Drosophila melanogaster: one gene and its partner. The protein of the gene in region 1 interacts with the protein of each later gene in a pairwise test. Each region holds a gene or a part of one and is shown on either strand. Other genes may lie near its edges. The genes, in order: CG1983 and zyd.

The links.
Region 2: the proteins of CG1983 (region 1) and zyd interact in a two-hybrid assay, tested with the Drosophila melanogaster proteins (one large-scale study listed by BioGRID).

Annotation. Positions count from the first base shown.
Region 1 is NT_033777.3:30,167,930-30,179,463, forward strand, and holds CG1983 (uncharacterized protein), read right to left. Parts: upstream 9,772-11,534; 5' UTR 9,690-9,771; intron 9,622-9,689; 5' UTR 9,618-9,621; coding exon 9,525-9,617; intron 9,461-9,524; coding exon 9,248-9,460; intron 9,163-9,247; coding exon 9,015-9,162; intron 8,956-9,014; coding exon 8,714-8,955; intron 8,657-8,713; coding exon 8,588-8,656; 3' UTR 7,857-8,587; downstream 1-7,856. Other genes in the region: Rsod (uncharacterized protein), read right to left, coding at 1-104, 168-451, 509-1,165, 1,225-1,777, 1,841-2,753, 3,069-3,138; Mlc2 (myosin light chain 2), read right to left, coding at 5,061-5,483, 5,643-5,885, 6,555-6,557; CG15530 (uncharacterized protein), read left to right, coding at 10,048-10,266, 10,320-10,437, 10,504-11,534.
Region 2 is NC_004354.4:23,021,757-23,032,250, reverse strand, and holds the start of zyd (zydeco), read right to left. Parts: upstream 6,885-10,494; 5' UTR 6,858-6,884; coding exon 6,803-6,857; intron 3,814-6,802; exon of another isoform or gene 3,661-3,813; coding exon of another isoform or gene 3,654-3,660; exon of another isoform or gene 3,641-3,653; intron 3,228-3,640; exon of another isoform or gene 3,059-3,227; intron 2,062-3,058; coding exon 1,888-2,061; intron 1,830-1,887; coding exon 1,642-1,829; intron 1,585-1,641; coding exon 1,398-1,584; intron 1-1,397.

The DNA of each region.
Region 1 (11,534 bases):
GAGTCATCTTAATGTAACCATAGGCGTATCCAGTGGGATGATGAAACGAGGCAATGGCTCGCAGTTCCCTAGCCTCACTGGGACTGTAGCCACGCTCAAGAGTACTACAATACATAGTTTCATAGTTTATATTAAATGAAAATCTCAATTAATTTTGGTTATCTCACCTGCAAGCCCATCGGGCATTCTTTTGCTTCTTCTGAATAACCACAGATCTTCCAATGATACTGTTATATCCAAATAGTGGAAGATTCGTATCGTTATAGGCATCCTCGAACTGGGTTACTCCCTCAAGACCTCCGAACTTTCCACTTAGATCTCCCATCTCGTACTGATCTGTGGTTCCCCTTTTCGGAGGAGGTGATGACTTTGGACTGACGTCGAAAGGATTCCAGTGACCATATAGAGTGGATGCCTCGCAGGGAAACGCCAAGTTGGCTTCCACGGGTGTCTAAAATTGAGAGCTTAGATTCACAATGTGTACATTAACAGGTTTGGTAATAAATACCCTATGGATGTAATATCCTGTATTATCCTGAAGCCCCTTAAGTTGCACCTCCACATTGCTGACATCATACTCCGATTGCTGGGTGATTTCCACCCGACCGCTGACTGTCAACGAATCTCCATTTGCGTACCACTCCTTGGCCACCACTTTCCTCCGGAAATGTCCAATCACGGCCGAACAAGCCAATCGCTCTCCTCTGGCTTTGGGTCCACTATCCTCATAGATAACAAGAGACTTACCCAGGATACTATGTCTTCCGGAGAGCGGAAGATTGCCGTCTACAAACATCTTCCTACTTATTTTCTGGGCAACTCTTCTGCCTCCAGCGATGGTTAGGGTTCCCGATCTGGCATCCATAGCACCCACTCTGCACATGGAGGCTAAACTGGGTCGGCAGAAGTCATCCACACTGCGATTGCCCCAATCCACTCGGAATGGATTATATACAGGTCCTGCGGAAATGCATCTCTGTTGCCAGTCATAGAAGTCCTTTCCAGGTGCATTGCTGTGGATTGCCCAACGATGATCGTGGGTAGTATTCTGCGTGGATCCATCCGCCTGGATGAGGTACTCAAATAAAACGGTAGTATCCTGCCAAGGCTGCTCCGCCGTCTGCCGGAATATGACTCGACCCACCACAGGATAGCGGAAAAGGACCTAAGATATAAGCACAAATATTAAAATACTTAGCATGAAATACTATTTTATCTACCAACCTGAGCAGTAACCATGTTCTGCTGGTAGATTCCATTTCGTTGATATTGACTTAGGCTCGAACAGCCCCAAATCATCTTCGTAATATTTGTGACATTAGATCGATTGAAAGTGTATATGACCAGACTTCTTTGGGCAATGCTATAACGTCCTTGAAGGGGCAGAAATACGTCCCAGTAGAGGCCATTCAACTCGGAGCTCGTTCCTGGTAAGACATACTGATGCCAATAACCTTTATTGCGACCCTGTAGCTTCCCGGAGAGATCGCCCACGGGATACTGCTCCTGGGTTCCATAACCGGGTGGGGGTATATTCTCGTTTATCTCCCGGGGATTATGCATGTCCCCAGTGGTCAGGCAGTAGTCCTCGTGACCCATCCTCGAAGGCACCGGCGGCAGACTGTGAATCCGAAAGGCGGCCACATCTTCGGCGAACTTGCGACTGACATGCTGGGAAAGCGGTGCTCCCAAGGTGAAATTGAGGAAAGTTGGGTCGAACTTGGAGCGCTGCATGAAGGTAACCTCTCCCTTGACACCACCAGAGTTGATGAAAGTTCTGCGGTTAACAAAAAAAAAATGGTTATACTTTCAAATAGAATGGGTTGTAAAAACCACTCACTTATGTGTCAAAGGTTGGACATGGCGAATCTTGGTGCACGCGAGGTACGAATCTGGATGTTGGTTGTCAAAAAGAACCAGGTAAAGAGTTCTATGGGGAATGGTAAGATCCGAGGGCAGCAGGGCCAACTGAGCATCCCTAAAAACGCTGCGTTGTGGCGAACGAAGGGCATTCTTGGCCACTCCAATCCTGCCTAGGCGTGCGTCCAGATCACCTATTCCCTTGCCAGCTCCACTTCCTTGGGGATCGAAAACTTGCTGCAGGAAGTTGCAGTTGTCCTCCGTGCGATGGTGGTCATGTTTGAAAATGTCCGTCACATAGATCTTCCAGTGGTGCTGGGTGAACGGTCCAGCTTGACTTCTATCTTCCTCCAGAGCAGCTGGTTGCGCCCTAATATGGTAAAGATCCGAGTAGATTAGAGTATCTCCAACAGCTCCCTCCGCCGGGGCCAGCCAGCGGAAATGGACAGATCCAGCGACAGGAGTATTAAAACGAGCCTCTGCCATGTGCTCCACGGAACTCTGGATGGTGGTGATGGTGGCACAGATCCGTGCATTAGCGTTGACCTCTGTCAGAACCAGGGACTTCCCCCAGATTCCCCGATCCCCAATCAACTGCATGTTTCGCTCCCAGCTGGAGGTCTCATTTCCGGGCAGTACCAGGTACTCCAAGTCCTCGTCAAAGGACAGGACCTGGGAGCCCAAACGACTCAGTTCGCAGCGTTCGTCTGGGTCAATATTGGAGTAGTCCACGGGGAAGCGACGTACTCCCCAACTCCATACTTGGTCGGGGTACTGCAAAGTGGCCTCCAGGTTGGCCTTGATCTCCACCGTGGTGGCATTCATTTGCCGAAAAGTGATCTCTCCATGAAGACCTCTTTGCGAGATATAAGCGATCAGATGCTGTGCATCAGCTGAGAGGCACAAAAACGATAGTGAGAGTGGAGTGTTCATTAGTAAGGTGAGATATCTCATAGGCGCAGAGAGAGAAATATGAATGAATAATATAATTATATGCATAAAATATAGTGTTGGAAATAAAAGGTTAGTTTACTTTCGAAGCAAAGTATACAGCATAGGATAAGGGCTTAGTTCGCCCCAAATGTATATCACTTTTCTTGCAGTGCACTCGAGAGTGTGGTGAGATATTCCAGACTCAAACTGAGATACTTTCGATTTCTTTGGCCACGCAATATCTGCATACAATGCAATCGATTCCCAGCACTCACCTCCACTCATTAGTGATGCAATCCAGCAGATGGAAGCCATCCACAAAAGCTGTCGTCCACCTGGAGCCATGGTTCTGGTTCTACTTACGCCCTGAGTAACCAGATTATTCGAAAAGCGCTGTTCGGAATGGATGTGGCAATGACAAGCGTGGCTGACTTTCACATCGTAGTGCGCATGCGTGCGCCTCGAAACTCGACTGACAACTGGTCGCTCGAAGGTTCGTGTTCGGTTTTGGCCATCGTCTTGGCCAAGTGTGGGGAGTTTCCCACTGCGCTCCACAGCTTCGTTCAGCTCCCCAGCTTTATCGGTGGTTTTGTTTTGACCTGGAACTGGTTTCCGGCACGGCTCAGCTGAGTCAGATATGCAGTAAGGTACTACATACCCCCAAAAAACCCCTTCCCTGAGCAAATCAAACTTCAATGGCTTTGTGTTTTTTTTTCAAGACGACTCTCTTTTGCTTTATTCCAAGACTTCGTCATCGTATCATCATCTAGTTATGTTGTATAAAAACAGTTACTTGTTTTCTATTTTTAGATGTTTTTTGTTTTACTCTTGTTAATATTCCTGACCGGGTTAAAAGTTTTCTGAATTTTTTCATCTTGCCGTGTGTAGCTTAAAATATACTGAAGTAAAGATTCGATTTGCATTTAACAACTTGTTGCATGTTGCACTTTGAAATGGATTGCAGTGTGCGTGTGAGTGTGGTGTGTGCTCGTGTCGAGTGTCAAGTGTTGAGTTCTGAGTAATAGTAGTATTAGATAAATAAGGCAATATATTGTGCTTCCTCCGATCAGCCTAGGTACTAGTGGTTATGGGCACCTTATTCAAACTAAAACCCCCCCGACCGTCTATTTCCCGGGGAGGCGTATCATCCTGGAAGCTTCAAAACGCATTAACTAGAAACACTGGGTTTGTTATTTGAATGTTTCTTCATATTTCAGATATCATTTTGGGTTGTTTGTTCGTTTGGGTGGTTTATATCGCTGATAGTTCATAAGCAGAAAGTTGTGGTGGTGGCGATGGTTAAGTTATATAAATTCGCATTAAACAATTTGAGTGAATGAACTTAATGTTTCTCTGTTATTAGCCTAACTCTCGATAACTTGCAATAATATTGATAACTCATAACTGATAAATAAGTAAGTAACGAACGATAGATATGTATAACGATAAATATTTTGTGATAGTAGGATATATATTTGGCTCTCAGTTAAATGATCCCTAACAATAGTTTGTTATGGGTTTACCTCTCTCTCTCCTGGTCCTGCGAGATTTCTTGAACGAAAAACATTGTAACTCACAAAACTGGCTAAAATTCATATTCATAATCAAATTGAACTCGCGGGTGCAGGGCTAACGAATACAGCCCGGCTACCCATCAACATCGTCTTCGTCCTCCCTACATCATAAATCATACATCATACATCCTCATTTCGATTCCGATCTCGATCTCGATCTGGTAATCATCTCTCTCTGGGGGTTCTTCTCTTTAGTTCTTCAACGGACAGCGATATAAAAATAGACACGGCTTGTTTGTTGTTTTTAAGTTTTTTTTGTTGATTTTATAGGTGTTTTAAATAAAATAGATAGCATATGTTTTATAAATTTTACGTGTAAAATTTAACAGTAAATCAACTAGAAAACTACGCGTCAGTTCTTGCCGTGACAGTGAACGTGATCGTAAGTATCCCTAACTATGATGGACAGATACATGGTAAATGGTTCTGATCGCTACCAAATGTTGCTGAAGAAGTTCTTTTGAGGTTCAGTTTGATCGGATGTTGCTGATCTGGTTGGTGGTGTTGTTCTTGGTACAAGGTACTTGGTGATGGTTAACAAAAGAGATTACAAGATACTGAGAATCTACATATGTAAACGAGCGTTTCTTTTAATTACGTTTATTATTACTGATTTGACTGATTGATTTAACGTTCTGATTCTGGCTGTAAAATGGATGTTGAGTTAGAAGTTAGGATGTGATCGGATGTGCCTTAGGCGGCCTCCTCCTCCTCCTCTTCACCCTTGCCGGTGAGCATCTCGATCAGGGCGGCGGTATCGATCTGGTTCTTGTCGTCGATCACCATCTGATCGTAGGCATCATCAACCTCCTTCATGGTGAACTTGTCACCGAAGTTCATGAGCATTTCGCGGAATTTGTCACCGTCGATGAGACCATCGTTATCGAATGTTTTGAAGGCAGCAATAACAACTTCGTCTTCATCGTTGGCACCGGAGGTGGCCATGCGGTTGGCGAACAGGGTCAGCAACTGGGTGAAGTTGATCGGACCCGAGGCCTCGCCCAGCATGGCGTCCAACTCCTTGTCGTTGGCGATCTTGCCGACGGAGTCGAAGGCAGCGCGCAGATCGTTCTTGCCAATAATACCGTCCTTGTCGGCATCCATGAGTTGGAAGGCCTATCGATCCCGCACAGAGACAGAGAGAGATAGAAAGAAAGAGTGTGTTGGTGACTTGGTCCTTGACAAGTGCGATAGATGGTAGGATGACAGGATGATGGGATGGGTCTCGAGTGATCCGACATATGATGCGATATATGAGTAACGCCCAAAACTCACCTCCTTGAACTCGGCGATCTGCTTCTGGGAGAACACAGAGAAGACCGAGGAGCCAGCGCGCTTCGACTTCCTGGAGCCACGGGATCCGCCCGACGCTCTCTTCGAACCAGTGGCAGATGCGGCCGGGGCAGGAGTGGCAGCTGGTGCCGGGGTTGCTGCCTCGGATGCGGCCTCAGAAGCGGTTTCGGAAGTACCACCCTCTTCCTTGGTCTTCTTCTTCTTAACCTTCTTCTTCTCATCGGCCTGAGGAGAGAAAAGAGGGATTTATTAGTAGGGACTCGTGGCAGAAAGGGGGTATCTACTCGGTCATTAGTCGTTATAGTCCGTCTTTAGCTGTCACTTGAAAGTTCCGATTCCGGAAGTTATACTATTCGTTTTAGGGATCTTAGTAAGTTATCCGCGTTGAAGGATCTTCAATTGGAATTATATGGGTAGAAAGTTATCCCTTAATAGGGATTTAAGGGATGTAAGGTATGCTTTTCAAAAGGCCTACCCGACTAGGCCAGAAAATATGTATCTGCAGGCGAAAGTTTTCCACTCATTCTAAAAATATACCGGACGCATATTACGTAAGCTCTCCGCCGTGCGCCACTCGCTGTCTCGCTCGCTCCCCGGCACGGATATCAGATTACATTACTGACGCGTAACACTCGGATCGGATCGATCCATTTATAGAACTTTCTGCACTATTCTCACTGCGTATGTGAAGAAGGTGAATCGGGATCACCATGATTTAGAGTTATGGTTCACTTCATATTCATATCCTCGGGGTCATTCTCGAATGCAAACGATTCACTGCACTGATCGGCATTATCCTTGCTGCATATATCCAGGCACTGGGGTCCAGTTCGATTCGGTTCGGTTCAGTTCGGTTCAGTTGGATTGTAGTGATATTCCGGGACGAGTCCTTACCATGGTGCTGAACTTTGATGTGTTGTCTAATCGAGTCGAGCCGTCAGAGCACACTGAATCTCTGGCTGATTTTATCGCCAAGACAATGATGTTTTAAGAGCTCGGAGGAGCTCTTCTTCTTCCAAGCATTGGGGCCGCTCGTGGAGGTTCGGCCACCTTCGGGGATCTTCGGGCGCCATTCGCTGTATCCGTATCTGCAATATTCGTGCTGCCTTTTTTAGTATCTGCAAGGCGAGGTCCGCCCAGGAGATCGGCGGGGGCGGGCAGCTACAACTATATAGATATAGCCATGGCTATAGCCTATAGCCTATGGTGTAGCTGTATCCGAGGTGTTTACTCATCCATCGGGCGCTGCTCTAATCAAAAATCTAATTTTAAAGGCAGAGAAATTGCTTTGGCTTTGGCTTTTGGGCAGCAGAAGCCTATACATATGTTCGGAATTTATTTCGGGGCGATTCGGATTGGTTCATATAGCGGCTCTCTGTTGTGGATACATTTCCCCATCCTCGGATTCTGTTTTGTTTTCTTTTATTTTGCTCTGCTTCACTACTCGGTGCGTCTCTCTGCCAGAGGCCACCTCCGAAAGGTGTCCTCTTGCGCTGAAATCACCTACATTTTCCTTGGCGGCGGACAGCATACATATATGCCAACATATAGCATATGTATGTATTCTATTCACGCCTATATACTCGATGTTTTGCTCGCCTACGTTCCTTTTTCTGTTTTCGAAATGCCCCGCACATTGTGCAATATGAAGAGCGCCGAGAATTCCAAATCTATAGATCTGTATATACATACACGGCGATCGGGCGGATTTCGTGTCGCATAAATATCCAACGAACCCGATATTGGACCAGAGTTATTTCGGCAACAAATGTGGAATAAACATCTGACTTTATCTATATGCTAGTCATCCATGGACATTGCATAACAATGGGAAGGCTGTAGGATTTCCATTTCAGATAAACTTTGGGTACCACGTCATGATACATTAACCTTGTTACTAAAAATATTAAACACTGCAGTATTCAAGCTATTTAAGCCATTTCAGTAAATAAATAGTAAAATTGTGACAACTTCAATCGACAAATTGGATTCTCAAAGCCTTATTTACACATTTTTAGTTTTCCAAATAAGCAGGAAATTTCAATTTAGTTTCAAGTGTTACAAAATATTATTATTCATATAGTTTACATCTATTTTTTTTAGAAATATTCATTCTGCAAATTATTCGACTTTTTGCTTTCTGAAGGAAATAAGCCAAAACATTTTTCAAAACAATATTTACATGAGGTCATCTTTGCCACCTGAATTCATTACCCTCGCTGGCTAATATTATAATTAATGAAGGCTCTATGCAAATTTATGAAACGGAAAATATCTCAATTAACGATGGGATCCGTGCGAGAAAGCCTTCATAATTCATCGATCAGACATAATGAAAATCGATTTAGGCTGCAGTCATCTTCGTGCTCCATTGAAAGTGATTTTCGGCGAAAACTCTCATGGCGCAGCCATTTTGGCACGTAACCAGGCGACATTTTGGCCTGGGGCCAACCAAAACAAGAAGATATAGAGGAAAACTGCCCACAATCTAATACGCAAAGTAGCATTGAATATACGCGAATGTAAAAATAGAACAAAGTGCAAAAAACGAGCAAGACGCAGTCGAAGGAATGTTAAAACTAATGAAAACTGCGGCAAATGTATTCAATTTTCCAAGGTGCAGAATGTTTCTGGGAATATTAATGGTTTTGACACTTTGGAAGCATTGTTTATAAAGGGTTAACAATTAAATAAGGCAAATAACAGCCTACACATAACATTTGTTTATCTCAAGGGTTTCTAAATTTAAACGCCAAATCATCTTTGATTTGCTGATTTACTACGTTAGTCTGTGTGAATATACCCAGTTCCACCTGATACATGAGCGAACTTGGAGGTGCTCAGTCGTGAGGTCGGACGTCATTGGGAATCGGCTGTATTCAGTGCCCGCAACGCATTCCTATCACATCTCTGCTCCGCTCCCCTTCTTACACCTTGGCCGCCCGATGGCCGAAAATAGAAGAGCCAACGCGCACCACTGTGCTGCCCATTTCGATCTGAGGGAATAGTTTCGATTTTAGAGACGGAACTTGCTCAGTCGGTTTGTAGCTTACCGCCTTGTCGAAGTCGTTGGACATTCCCATGGAGACGAGCACCGAGTCCGGGGCCAAGGAGTGCGCCTCACATATGGATCTGTGCACCTGCATTAGGGACACGAAATCCGGATTGGGTCCATTGCTGTAGTCAAAACCAAATGCACCAATGGTCATTATGCCCATCAGGTTGAGGTGTTTAAGGTTGCTCTTGATGTACTGGTAGAGTGCAGGAGCATCTTTCGCCTCTATTCCGCTTTTAACTAGAGGTCGATTTAGGAAAGTAAGTATAAGGTCGCTAGTTTGGGGGCGTGAGACTCACCGTCTTCACCACTAGTGTTGATCTGGATGAGCACCTGCAATGGCTCCTCAGGGGTGGGCTGTCGCTTAGACCAGGCTGCGTCCAGTTTGGTGGCCAACTTCTCGCTATCTACGGTCTGGATCATATGCAGATTTGGCACAGAAAGGATCTAAATAAACAATGAGATCAATAAGATAAAGAGAGGTGCTGATAAGAGATAAACGCTGTTATCCGATCTTGGTTATCCAATTGACCTTGTTGATCTTGTTGCTTTGCATGTGGCCTATGAAGTGCCACCTGATGTCGGGGCACTTGGCCAGAATGTCCGGGTGGCGGCTCTTCTCCTCCAGCTCCTGTACATAGTTCTCACCGAAGTCTCTTTGTCCGCCCTCGTAAGCCTCGATTACGGCCTCCGCTGGCTTTGTTTTGCTTACAGCAACGAGCAGCGGCCTGGCAGCTTGAACTTCCTGTGCGAGAGATAAAGTTTTTCATTTAAGAGGTCATTAATAAGTGGGTCTTAAGTTAACTTACTTTGGGCCGCTGGAGGAGCACCTCGTCTATGCGCTTCAACACGTGCTGCAGGCCGGCTTTGACGTCGAATTCCGCCATTGTGCGTCTTAGCATTTAACTAAAAAATGCGAGATGAATAATATTCTTTATATATAAGTACAGATAAATAGTAGTTATTGTTCTTACAATTGGTTAACTCAATGATAAGAAACAGCCCTTGCAAAAATAAAAACAAAACCTTCGAGTCGATCAGCTGTTCGGCAGTGTGACCTGAGTTTACTGAATATACCAATAAAATACTTTTAGTTTTGAAAATACAGATGAAGGCGGGGAGTTTTAAAAGTAATTTAACGCCTAACACCAAAGAGGATATTGTTTTTAAGGCATATGAATAAAATATTTAGTTTTAGCTTTAGCTAAGAAAAAGTCGAAATCCAATTGCCTTTGCTTTGGCAGTAAGTTTCGCCGCACTTTAGCTTTCGAAAACCCTGTGCCGGGGAGAAATGCCTTCACTGGGACGCACACAGACTCCTCGACTTCAGCCATGGCTGACGCTATTAGGTGCGCCTGCGAGTCACTGAACTCCGCGCTGGGCTACCTGGTCACGATGAGGATCTCCGAGGTCCGCCACTGCTTCGAGCTCCTCGGAGTGGCGCACGTAGAGGTGCTCGCAGGTGTGATTGTTTTCATTCTGATGCAGTTCACCAAGTTCACGGCCGTCCTGATGTTGGCCATTCTCCTGGCGTACGGCATTTTCTACCTGGTAAGCCAAGTGTTACTACTGCTACTGAGCCCTCCTAACGAAACCATCCGCAGTGGGACACCTTCTTCCCAGAAATCAGTCATCTCGGTCGCAGGGGAATGAAGATGTTCCGAAACGTGCGCACCTCCGCCAACTTGCCTCCATTTGCTTCAGACACTGAGGAGACGCCTGGTAACTAAAACTAGAACTAAACTACATCTTACGAAATAGCCTCATATATAACGTTTATTTCTCCAGGAGAGTACCAGATCCGTCCGAGGAGCCAGCACTACACCACTGGCATGATAACTCCCCCGAACACCATCAACATGCCGATGCTCCTGCCGATGGTACAAACGAATAATCTCAGGACGACAAGCCTGCAAACGGATCGTAGAAGGCAGGAGGAGGAGAACAGGAGGGGATCCCGTGGAAGAGGACACTCGGCACATCAGGAATCGCAGGACACGGATAGGAAGCACCGAAGAGAGAGACCCAACTGGCGATCTGTTCACTCCGATATTGAAAGGGAGCAACCGTCTACATCCAAGAAGGCTCATCATGGATCCAGTGGCGGAGGTGAGTCCAGGCGGATGTCCAATGTAGTGAAAACCCCGACCATTACCAGCGGAATGGTGGACACCAGGAGACTTTCCAACGTGACCAGAGACCAACTCAAGCGACTGCCCAACATCACGAGCGGAGAGTCGCGGAGGACAGCCAAGGAAGCAGGTGGCGCCAACAATTTCAAGAAGTTGCACCACATAACCAGTGGGGAGCTCACGGAGTCCCGAAGGATTCCGAGAATAACCAGTAATACCACTGAATCCAGATGGCTACCCAGGGGGGAAATGAAAGAATCGCGGAGGATCCAACAGATAACCAGCAACACCAACGAGTCCCGAAGATTACCCACTGTAACCAGTGGTGAGGTGAAGGAATCCAGGAGGAGTTCGCATCCCCACGGAGATGGAGAGTACCGTCGCACTTCAAACAATCAGAGAGATGGTGGCGGTGGTGGGGAGTCCAGATCCCGTCGGTCTGCCGAGAAATCCAATCCTGCCCAAAGCCGCAGGCATGAGGAGCAATCTAAGCAGCGAAGAAGCAGCAATGGACATCCCGGAGTGACCAAGCGGCAATTTCCGGATGATCATTTCGAGCGGTTGAAGCTGGAGAATCGGGAGTTCCAGGCCCGGCGCCTTCAAGCGAGTGGAGCTGCATTCCGGCAAAGTCTAAGTAATCCCACCTCCGAGGGCGCTCTGCTCACCAAACAGGAGAACTTTATTGAA
Region 2 (10,494 bases), on another chromosome or scaffold:
TTGTATAGTTCCCGATATATGTTTATGTTACATACTTTCAATTCAGTAGTACACTAGGGGTATACTTTTCAGATTGAAATCACTTTACTAGATGCAGAGTGAATATTATGCTAAATATCTATGTATGTACATCTAGACAAGTATTTACCTTCAAATTGTTAAGCGATGTAACGGGTATCTAATATTGATGGTGTTCCGACCCTTGAGCTAGGATCATCAGCCGAGCCAATCTGACCATGTCCGTCTGTACGCGTGTATAAACTTTAATATTTGGAACTTTCCGAATTTAAGTATGTCAATTTCAAAAAATTGTCACTTCGTTTCCTTGCACTCCCTTTTAGCTGAGTAACGGGAACGCAATAGTCGGAGAAGTCCACCATAGTGGTATCTTTTGTTTTAAAAGGTTAAGGTAGATTCATAGAATATTATGCAACAGGTTGCGGAAGCGTTTCAGACCGTATAAAGTTGATGTATATGCTCGTGATCAAGATCACTAGCCGTCAATCTGGAAGTGTTCATGTGTCCGTCTGTCTGTCCGTATCAACGCTCGGATCTCGGGAACTAAAAAAGGTAGAAGTTGTAGATAGGGAGTGCGGGTTCTATTGTAGTAAAAACAACACTAACAGCCACAAACCGTTACTTTCACACAATTTTATAATTTTCTTTTTTGTTTTTTTTTTTTGTCTTGTCAATTTTCATCGGTGCGCAAAAATATTTTGGCAAAACTTTTACGGCAAGTTATTTGATTTGACTCTAACGCCTTCAAAAGGCAAGAAGCTGTCACGCCCAATTTAAAAGAGATTTTGGTTTAATTATTTAATACTAGTCATATTTATTTAAAAAGTCATTGTTTTTGGAAACGAATAAATGTTTAATTTAAACAAAAAATCAAAATGTACTACAGACTCCTTGTAGCATTACTTTTCTTTCATTAATTTTTTTCCAAATTTGTTATATAAATGGTTTGGTAATATGCATGCGATAGAATGGGTATGGTCAAAAAGGATTTTCCGCATATCGATCAACATGGGCGTGACAAAAATCGAGAAATAAAAAATGTAAAACATGGCTTGATTGGCTTGGCTGCTAGTGATCCGATTCGACAGTATATATAGTTTATTGGGTAGCGTTTTCCTTTCGTTCCCCCCTATTACGTAGTATAGTATTCATCGAATTTTATCATACCATATATTCTATGAGTAACTTGCGTAAAAAGTATAAGAACTATAGTTTGTTCTATAATAAAGCAAATTGACATTATATTTCCGACTAATGAGAAGTCGATTGATATTGGCTTAAAACTATTTCTTCTTTGTTACGCCAATACTTTTTTTTTGTAACCTTTGTGAGCCAAAGCTGACATTTTGGAACAAAAGTGCCGCAAGGATATCACTCACCTTTGGCGCACTTTTGGAAAGTTTTGTCGAAATACATGACCGCAAGATAGACGGCATACAGGGAGACCAGGATGAGGGCCTCATACCACTCGACGCGCTCGTCGTGCATAACACAAATGAGAATGGCCACTGTAACTCCGTATGCGATGCTGTCCCGCGTCAGTGGCCACCAGTCCAAGGGTATTGTCTGAAATTTGCATTTCACGAGGATTAGGAAATAGCTGATTATACGAAATAGACTTGCCATGCCAGCTCCGATTCCGCAGCACGCGGCCACTGCCAGGATGTTAAATACCGCCGATCCGACAATCGTGCCCACTCCGATGTCGCCCTCCGTGATAAAGGTTCCTATCACGTTGACAAATAATTCTGGGGCGGAGGTGGCCGCGGCCATGAAAGTGGCACCCGCCACATCATTGGACATGTTGAGTGCTAGATTAGTTGAAAGTGATAGTACGCTAATATTCAAAGTGGATTTAAGAATAACTACCTGCACATATTTTCTCAACTGCTGGCACAAAGTACTCATCACACACTACGGCTAAGGCTACAAATAAATATAAACTGGCTATAACATGAAGTACAACAGCACCAGACTGTCTTTGCGCCTCCGAGAATAGGTCTCGGGGGAAGTCATCGATGGCGGGCTGAGTGCAATTTATATCTGAAAGATATGCGAAATTCAAAGATTACTTATTGAAGGTTAGTTTCAACACTTAAGAAAGCATTAACTTATATTACCTAGCTTAGCTATCAGCTAAGCTGAGCCAATAGCTGAGCGTATAAAAAGAGTTGAAAGTTTCATACTGCCAATGGTTCCAAATAACGGAAATTTAGCCTTAATGTTTTAATATCAATACGCTAATACAAAAACCTGTTCAAATAGGATAAGTCGTTCCAGATTGGTGAAAATTTATGGTATTGTTACCAAATGTCTTTAAAACTTTTTGGATTATCCGAGGCCTAAAGAAAAATCTTACGATTCTTAAGATCAATCAAAATGAAAAAGGGCTTTATTTAAAAGTGAGTTTCATAAGTTAATCTTTCAAAATTTCTGCAATTAACTGATAATTCTCAAAATTTACTTAAATCTTATTTTGAGAGTATCATTCGACTGGAGTATTTTAAGCAATAGTTTTTTATACTATTTTTTGGCTACATAATCTGCACTTTATAAAATGTTCTCATTTACACTGGCCCCGCTCTTTTGATTAAAACATTCAATTGTCTCAAAGTCTTTAATTCTTACACACGTTACTCGTAGAGTAAAAGGGTATACTAGATTCGTTGAAAAGTATGTAACAGGCAGAAGGAAGCGTTTCCGACTATATAAAGTATATATATTCTTTATCAGGATCAATAGCCGAGTCGATCTAGCCATGTCCGTCTGTCCGTATAACTTTCGAGGTCTCAGGAACTATAAAAACTAGAAGGTTAAGATTACGCATACAGATTCTAGAGACAAAAACGCTGCTCAAGTTTGTTGACCCATGTTGCCACGCTAACTCTAACGCCCACAAACCGCACATAACTACCACGCCCATATTTTTTTCTATTGATTTGCCAAAAATCTTTTTGAAACGCCCGACCTGAAGCCGCCAAAACGGTCACACTTTTGAACAATTTTAAAACTTGTTCTCATTTTATTCCCCAATACCTACCGATATCCCACAAAAATTATGAAATTTCGCGTCCGAATTCACACTAGCTGAGTAACGGATATCTAATAGTCGGGGAACTCGACTATAGCATTCTCTTTTGTTTTGCGCTACCATTGCGTGTGGCCTGTCCCTCATTTGAGCAAATTTAAACACAATAAAAGTGTTCTGTCTGTAGGTAAGCAATTTGTTAAAGCGAGAGTGTAGTGTAATTATATAGTAAAATTTCAAATCATTTTCATCGTCATAAGACGTGTCATCAGAACTTATTTATGTCAAAGATGCAATGGCCGATTATTTCTTAAACTAATCAAAAGTGTTTGATTTTCTTAATAATAATAAACAAAGTCTAAAGTTAAAAAAAAAATTAAATAGAAAAAATTATATTGACGAATTAAAAAATTGGAGACTATGAAAAAATTCATTTTTTAATAGAGTGTCGTGTCGTCGCGGGAAAAATGTAACCTCGAGTTGACAAAGTTTATAAGCAGCTATTCTCACAATAAATAAGTGGCTTGTCATTAAAGAGAATTTTTAATGAAATCATAGGCCCTTATGTCAACTTCAAAATAGAATAAAAATCACTTGGTTTTCGCACATTTCATGCTGCACTGCAACAAATTTTCACCGAACAAAAAAACGCTTCAGACGATCAGGGAACAAGGGCTTCCGAATTGCCGAATTATTCCGACTGCCTCGTCTTTCTATTTTTGTGTATCACAAGTCGGAGTCTCAAGCGTTGATAATGAACTAAACCACCAGAGCTGCAAGAAAGACCATAAGACTGGCAATCAGAATCCAGAACGTGGCACCCAGTACCTCACACCCCAGGAATCGAAACTCAAAACAGAAGCCGAAATGGAAACTGCACGAGATACAGACACAATTACACCAGATACTCATACAGACGCAACGCGAGCAGTAAGCTACAGATACAAATACATCTGCTGGTTCCAGAACATAAGTCGGACTGGAACCGAAACAAAAATAGAAGCCGAAGCCCCGCTTTTTTATCATCGTAGCTCATAGATACATTTGATCATCGATCAAAAATGCGACGGACCTCCGATCCAAATAACGATCGGCAGCGGAAGCGATAAATTCGCCTTTGATGTCATCAAATTGTATTGCAAAACAAAAAACCGATAAAAGCTCATCCGAAGCTTTAAATTGAAACCGAAAACTATGCCCCAGCTAAAAACTAAAAACATATCAACACGGGAAAAAATCGTAGATTTAGTTTCCTATTTCTGCACTTTGCATGCAAATTATTGTTACTCTAGCTTGAAATCTAGGAAACATTGGCCGTTAAAAGTATGTAAATTACTGCTTGGGCGTATTTTTTTTTAATAAAAAGGGTTTCTGCTAGAGTTTTATAAAAAATGTAAAATCAATTCTATATAATTCGCAAAAATTAAATTTAAATTATTAATTCATTTGTATATTATATTTCATGGTTTCTTATTTGACTCTTGAATACTGAATCAATCAAAACCAACATTTTTATATAATTTTTGTCTAATAATTTCAATTATTATATTAAATATTTAATCAAAATGTATTTTTATTTAAAAAATTATTTGGGCTGCTATTTTAAGATTAATGCCTGGAAAATAATTAGCATAGAATAGAAGGGAATAAAATGGTTGTCACCTTTTCAATGTACAAATAATTGTAACACTTCGATACTTTAAATGTTTATGTAATAATGAGATATCAATTTCAATCCTAAATTTAAATGTCTAAGTCGGGCGTCTAAATACTTATTAAACATAGGGCGCCTTTTGGTTGTTCATAAGATTGTGGAATTTTTTTGCATGTAGAGTACCTAAATCGGCAGCCGGTGCCGAGAACAAGCATCAACATACAGACTTCAATCCGCAAATTAAAATAAATAAGTGCTAACTAAACGCAATAGCTAAACTCACTTGCCACTCAAAATGTCAATCGATTGAGCTACATAAGTTGATAGAGACATAGAGTAGATACGAGAAGATATTGCGGTAACCGTAGGTCGAAATACAAATATACATAAATATGTAGGTACAATAGCACTCTGCAACATGGTAACTGTGGACTTGTGCAAATAAGTTTCAGCATCACTATCATCTTTATACCATAACCCCTTAAGTTGATATCTCAAAGCAATCCAACAATTTAAAGATAAACGTTTTTTCTGTTCCATTTTTATACATTCAATATGTACTTATACCCCACTTATACTATTCAGCGCATTAAGATTTTGTAATTTCACAAATAGGGCTAAGCAAGCATAAATAAGTACTACCAAAACACACATACACTTCACCCCAGAACTAAAGAAATGTAGCACAGTGTAATTAAATACCCAGAGCCAGCAGTCAGCCAAGTATATGACCCAATCAAACAAAATTAGCTTTGTTTCGTTCGGTTCGGAAATCATCAGATTGTGAGCGTTTGATCTGACGATTAACACCGGGGTTAATGATTGCCATTAGTCTTGGAGCATTAATATAAGCAATTAGGTGAATTTCGGACTATGAATATAGTGCTCCGAATTCAAATAGGCAAACATTTGGACATCAACAATAAACAAATTGTAAGATTAATATGTAGGTTAGGTTTTCTCCTCTTCTCAATTTTAAATATCTTTATGCGCGATGGACCTTAGGTCGATGAAGGCCTGGTGCGTAGAAATACCACAAACATAAATGTATACCTACATATCTATATAGAAGTGAAGACTCACACGCAAGATTGAGCGACACAGAAAGTCGGAGCCCGGGGTCAATTGACACAAACGCATTTTGTAACCGCCAACCCGCATAATGCAATGATGCTTAATAAACATTTACAGAGTTCCCTAGTTATAGCGAATGAACCAGCTCTGCTCCACAGCACAAGGGAGGAGGAGTGTTAATGATAATCAATTTAACAATCAGAAATACATTCAATCACAGTAAATTAAGTTAACTATAATTGAATGAGCGAATCATAAACAGTAAAAGCGTATCGAATAACTGCAATTTTGAACTCTTTGGATTTGTTACAATATGTGAATCTTAGAAAAGTCAAATAAGTGAGTGGAGCTATTCAGAAGAGGTACTCAGTCTTATTCGTTCTTATGCAACTATAGCCTTCATTATACGCTTATTCGAAATATGTTAACTTTAAGCAATGTTTGCAGTACCCACATTGTAATTAATCATTATGGCAAACAAACCGTATATTACAGGTATTAATCTGCGAGCAAAATCTTCTGAATTTATTCAGCAATCGGCTTTCCATGCAGAAAAACAATATTTTTGATTATTTTCCACAGCAATCGAACGCTGTCAAAAATGCAAAATGGATCATATTGTCTCAGTTGCCAAATGTCAGCAGTAAACTGCTTCAGTATTTACTTGGATTTTTTAACGAAATATTATTATTATTATTGTGCGAATATAACAGTTGTAATATTAGTTCGCACAATTTCCTAGTAATTCCGGTCATATCGGAAACGGGTCTTTTCTGAGAAGATCTGTACGTAAATACTTGCAAGGAAGAAATTTGATGTAAAGATATTTTTAATAAAGATTGCAAGAAGTACTCCTTCCACCTGTAATAATAGTTATTTACAATTTTAAATGTGCCCACCTCACTAGTTTACTCATACAACTAATTTTACCAGACTAAGAATATCTCATTTTCCTGGCTCTTATCAGCATGAATTCGTTATTTTTTCGCTTTTTAATTTTCAGCTTTCTATTAAGTACTCAAACTCACAGCAGAATAATAGTATATGTGAAATGGAAGACTTCATATTACGTATCCGCATCATTGTCACAATTGTTTTATAGAAAGACTTGAAGCACATCGCCTTTCAAACCACACAAAAAGCTCTGTACTAAACATGTGTCTACCCATATGTAAGTTTATATCTGACCATAAGTAAGGGAAATCAGTGTGACAATGCGTATTAATATGACTTTTGTGTTTCGTTTAAAGAAAAATTTTCTAAACGATCCATGCTTTGTGGCTTTTGTCTGTATATATTCTTTCCCATTTTTAGTTAGTTAGTCTTACTTGGTGCTGTCTCCATATTTTTTAGAAGTGAGTTTACCTGCACCCAAGCCAATAATTCTGACAGAAATAAAAAATGAGGTTGAATCTGATGCGGTTCATCTTCGAAAAGGCCAAATATATATTGGTCTCTTTCAAGAGCATGCAACGTAGTAAAGGAGTCACTTGCAACCATTTCAAAGAAATAATAAAAAAACAACAGAGAAACCTATAGCCGAGTTCCCCGACTATCCTCTGCATATTTATGAATAATATGCTATTATCAGCTGTTTAGGCCTAAAAAGATTTTACATACAAAGTATTCCTTCGTTCTTTGTTTAGAAAATAGACTGCATAAAATAAAATCGCGTTTCCAGATACGAACTTACGTGCGCAGAATACTACCAGATACCAGTTGAAGTTATATCTGTTTTTAATAGTAGGTTCCTTCTACCTAAGTTTTCTATGATCAAACCAATAAAAAAGAGTGAAAAGTGAATAGTATATTTTTTTTACGTTATTCTGTGAAAATACCTATATGAGGAACATTGCGCATACGAGCCATGCATGGTTTGTTGGTCACATTAACGTTGAGCGAATAAAAGGATGGAATAAAATATATACGCGGGCATTAACTGATTTTGAAATACATCTAAACAAAAAAATTAATAACAAGAGAGAATGCTATAGTCGAGTTCCCCGACTATCAGATACCCGTTACTCAGCTATTGCGAATGCGAACGCGAATTTCATAATTTTTCTGGGCTATCGATAGATATTGGGGAATAAAATGAGAAAAAATTTAAAAATTGTTTTAAAGTGTGGGCGGCTTTCGGGCGTTAGATTCAGCGTGGCTAAAAATTTAAAAACATGGTTCAAAAATGTGGGCGTGGCAGTATTGAGCGGTTTGTGGACGTTAGAGTGGGTGTGGCAACATGGGTCAACAAACTTGCGCTGCGCCTTTGTCCTATAATCTGTCCGTATGAACGTCGGAATTCAGCATACAGACGGACATGGCTAGATCGACTCGGCTATTGATCCTGATAAAAAATATATATACTTTATATAGTCTGCCTGTTACTTTTCAAAGAATCTAATATACCCTTTTACTCTACGACTAACGGGTATAAAAACGAAACAGTTTTGGTTGTCACTATGCATAGTAAATGTCATTAAGGTTCACTTAATGAGCCAATTTAGACAATTGCTTCATATGCCACAGTTTACGCGCTCAGACACAACACATGCTCTCACGGGCCATAAAGAGATCCGCATGCATACACACCCACACCCGGAATTTTAAGGCGTACAAATTTATGTGCATGCATTTGTGTATGCGTGCCATCGTGCAGATACATACATATGTACATACATATAGAGGCCTATGACGTCAGTGCACGCACAAGCCCATTTAATCGCATTGCATTAAAATTATTTGACGCCTAATTGATTTATTAAACTTGTTTCTATCTTTTTTGTCGCCGTCGCACAATACGTTAAAGGCAACGGAAAATAAAATAAACGTTATTTGTCAATTAGTTAAAAGGGCACTTTTTTAGTAAATTATAAACTTATCTGTGGTTCTCGATCTCAATATTGTCTCATGTTTTTGATTTGTAAATAAATTGGTTAGGGTCACTGAGTCGGACGAAAATAGTGGTGCTAGCTTAACTCGATTTGACGCTTAGTGTTAGCTAAGTTTTGGCTTAGTCACTAGTTAGTTCTGTTAGTGGTTATGTACCCGTAGTGCTGCTAAGACCCCAATAGTCTTCCATTGCTGCACGGTGTTGTAGTGGTGATGGACACTCGTAAACTGCGATGCGCCGTTGTATGAAGCCGAAGCCTAATCTGAATCTCAATCTCAATCCGCACTTCAATGGTGTTGATTTTCTCTATTCTTTTTTTCCTTTCCTTTGCTGTTTCCTTTCGTGCTTTTACAGCTCCCGCACCTTTCTTTTCTTTTCTGTTCGACGCTATTTGCTTATATTCCGTTTCCTCTCCTTTCGATCACCGACCCCTCCTCCTTTACTTCGGCTTAAGTTCTCTTTTCAAATCAGCTTAAGTGAGGCGGTGAGAGTAAGCTCAATTTGCGCTAAAGATCCAAATGGTCCACAATGGCACGTAGAATTGTGGGTGGGTGAATGGCGGCGGAGCAGAGGCAATTGGGGCACTTACAAACACACTAAAACTCTGCCACGAACTTACGAACACTTTCTTACTCACACGCACACGATTTCACCTCGGAAACACGGTCCTGCATCTCATTTCTTTCTAAAATTGGGCAACCTGTGGAATGCGATATTGTCTTTAGAGCTGTGAGAACCAGAAACCCTATACAGACATTAGTTTTCTTCGTTTTTTTTTTTCCTAAATTGTTATTTTATTCTGAGCCTGAATCAAGGGAGTAAAACAATGTAAAAAAAACTGAAACTAAGCCATTTCCTTTCTTTTTGGATTGCATAAAATTTGTGCTAAGGTTTTTCAGGTATCGATGTTAATCTGATTATTATATAATTTAAGATGATTATCTATTGATTGTTCCAATATTTTTAAGAACCGGTGCTAAGCACACATAAGTGCGTTATAAGCATTTGTGGTTTTAATACGTAATAGATGTACGTGGTATTCTTACACGTTTCAAGGGACTACTGACTTCAGAAAGCATCATTAAGTTTCGAAAAATTTATATTTTCTATACGTTCACAATCATGTGTATTTATAGGTAAACCCATATTTCCATATATATTACATATTATTTAACGAAATATATACGTTTGTAAGATAATCGATTTTATAAGAAACATGTATGTATACAAGTCTCAGTTCACCTTTTATTATGACGAGCCGAAATCGCCAACCCTGCACATATGGATGCTTAGTTTATTTATTAACCGAATCGTCTAACTTAATAAGTAAAAATGCCTAGACCTTGGGAAATCTAGCTATGGCATAACAAATATAAATAGTAAGGTAAAATAAAGACAAAAAAAAAACCAAATAAATAAAATAAAAATGGTTACTATCCACCACGTTTTGTAAGTTACTAATCAATCAGTGTTAAATCAGTCAGTTGCCTAACCTATAATTAGCATACAATTCAATAGTGCAGTAGCACTGACTACAAGATAAACTACAATATATTTGACAGTTTGCTAATATTTGAGCAAAACCTCTGTATTTTGCCGTATCGCAGAGATCTCTGTGTTGGAATTGTTTTGTGTACAATAAAAACTGCACCCGTTGATTAGAATAGATTGCTTGGATACTCCGGCAAAATTTCTTGAATTCCATATGGTCATATATGTATGTACTTGGGTTTCCGAGCGGCTATCTATCTATCTATCTATCTATCTATCTATCTATCTATCTATCTATCTATCTATCTATCTATCTATCTATCTATCTATCTATCTATC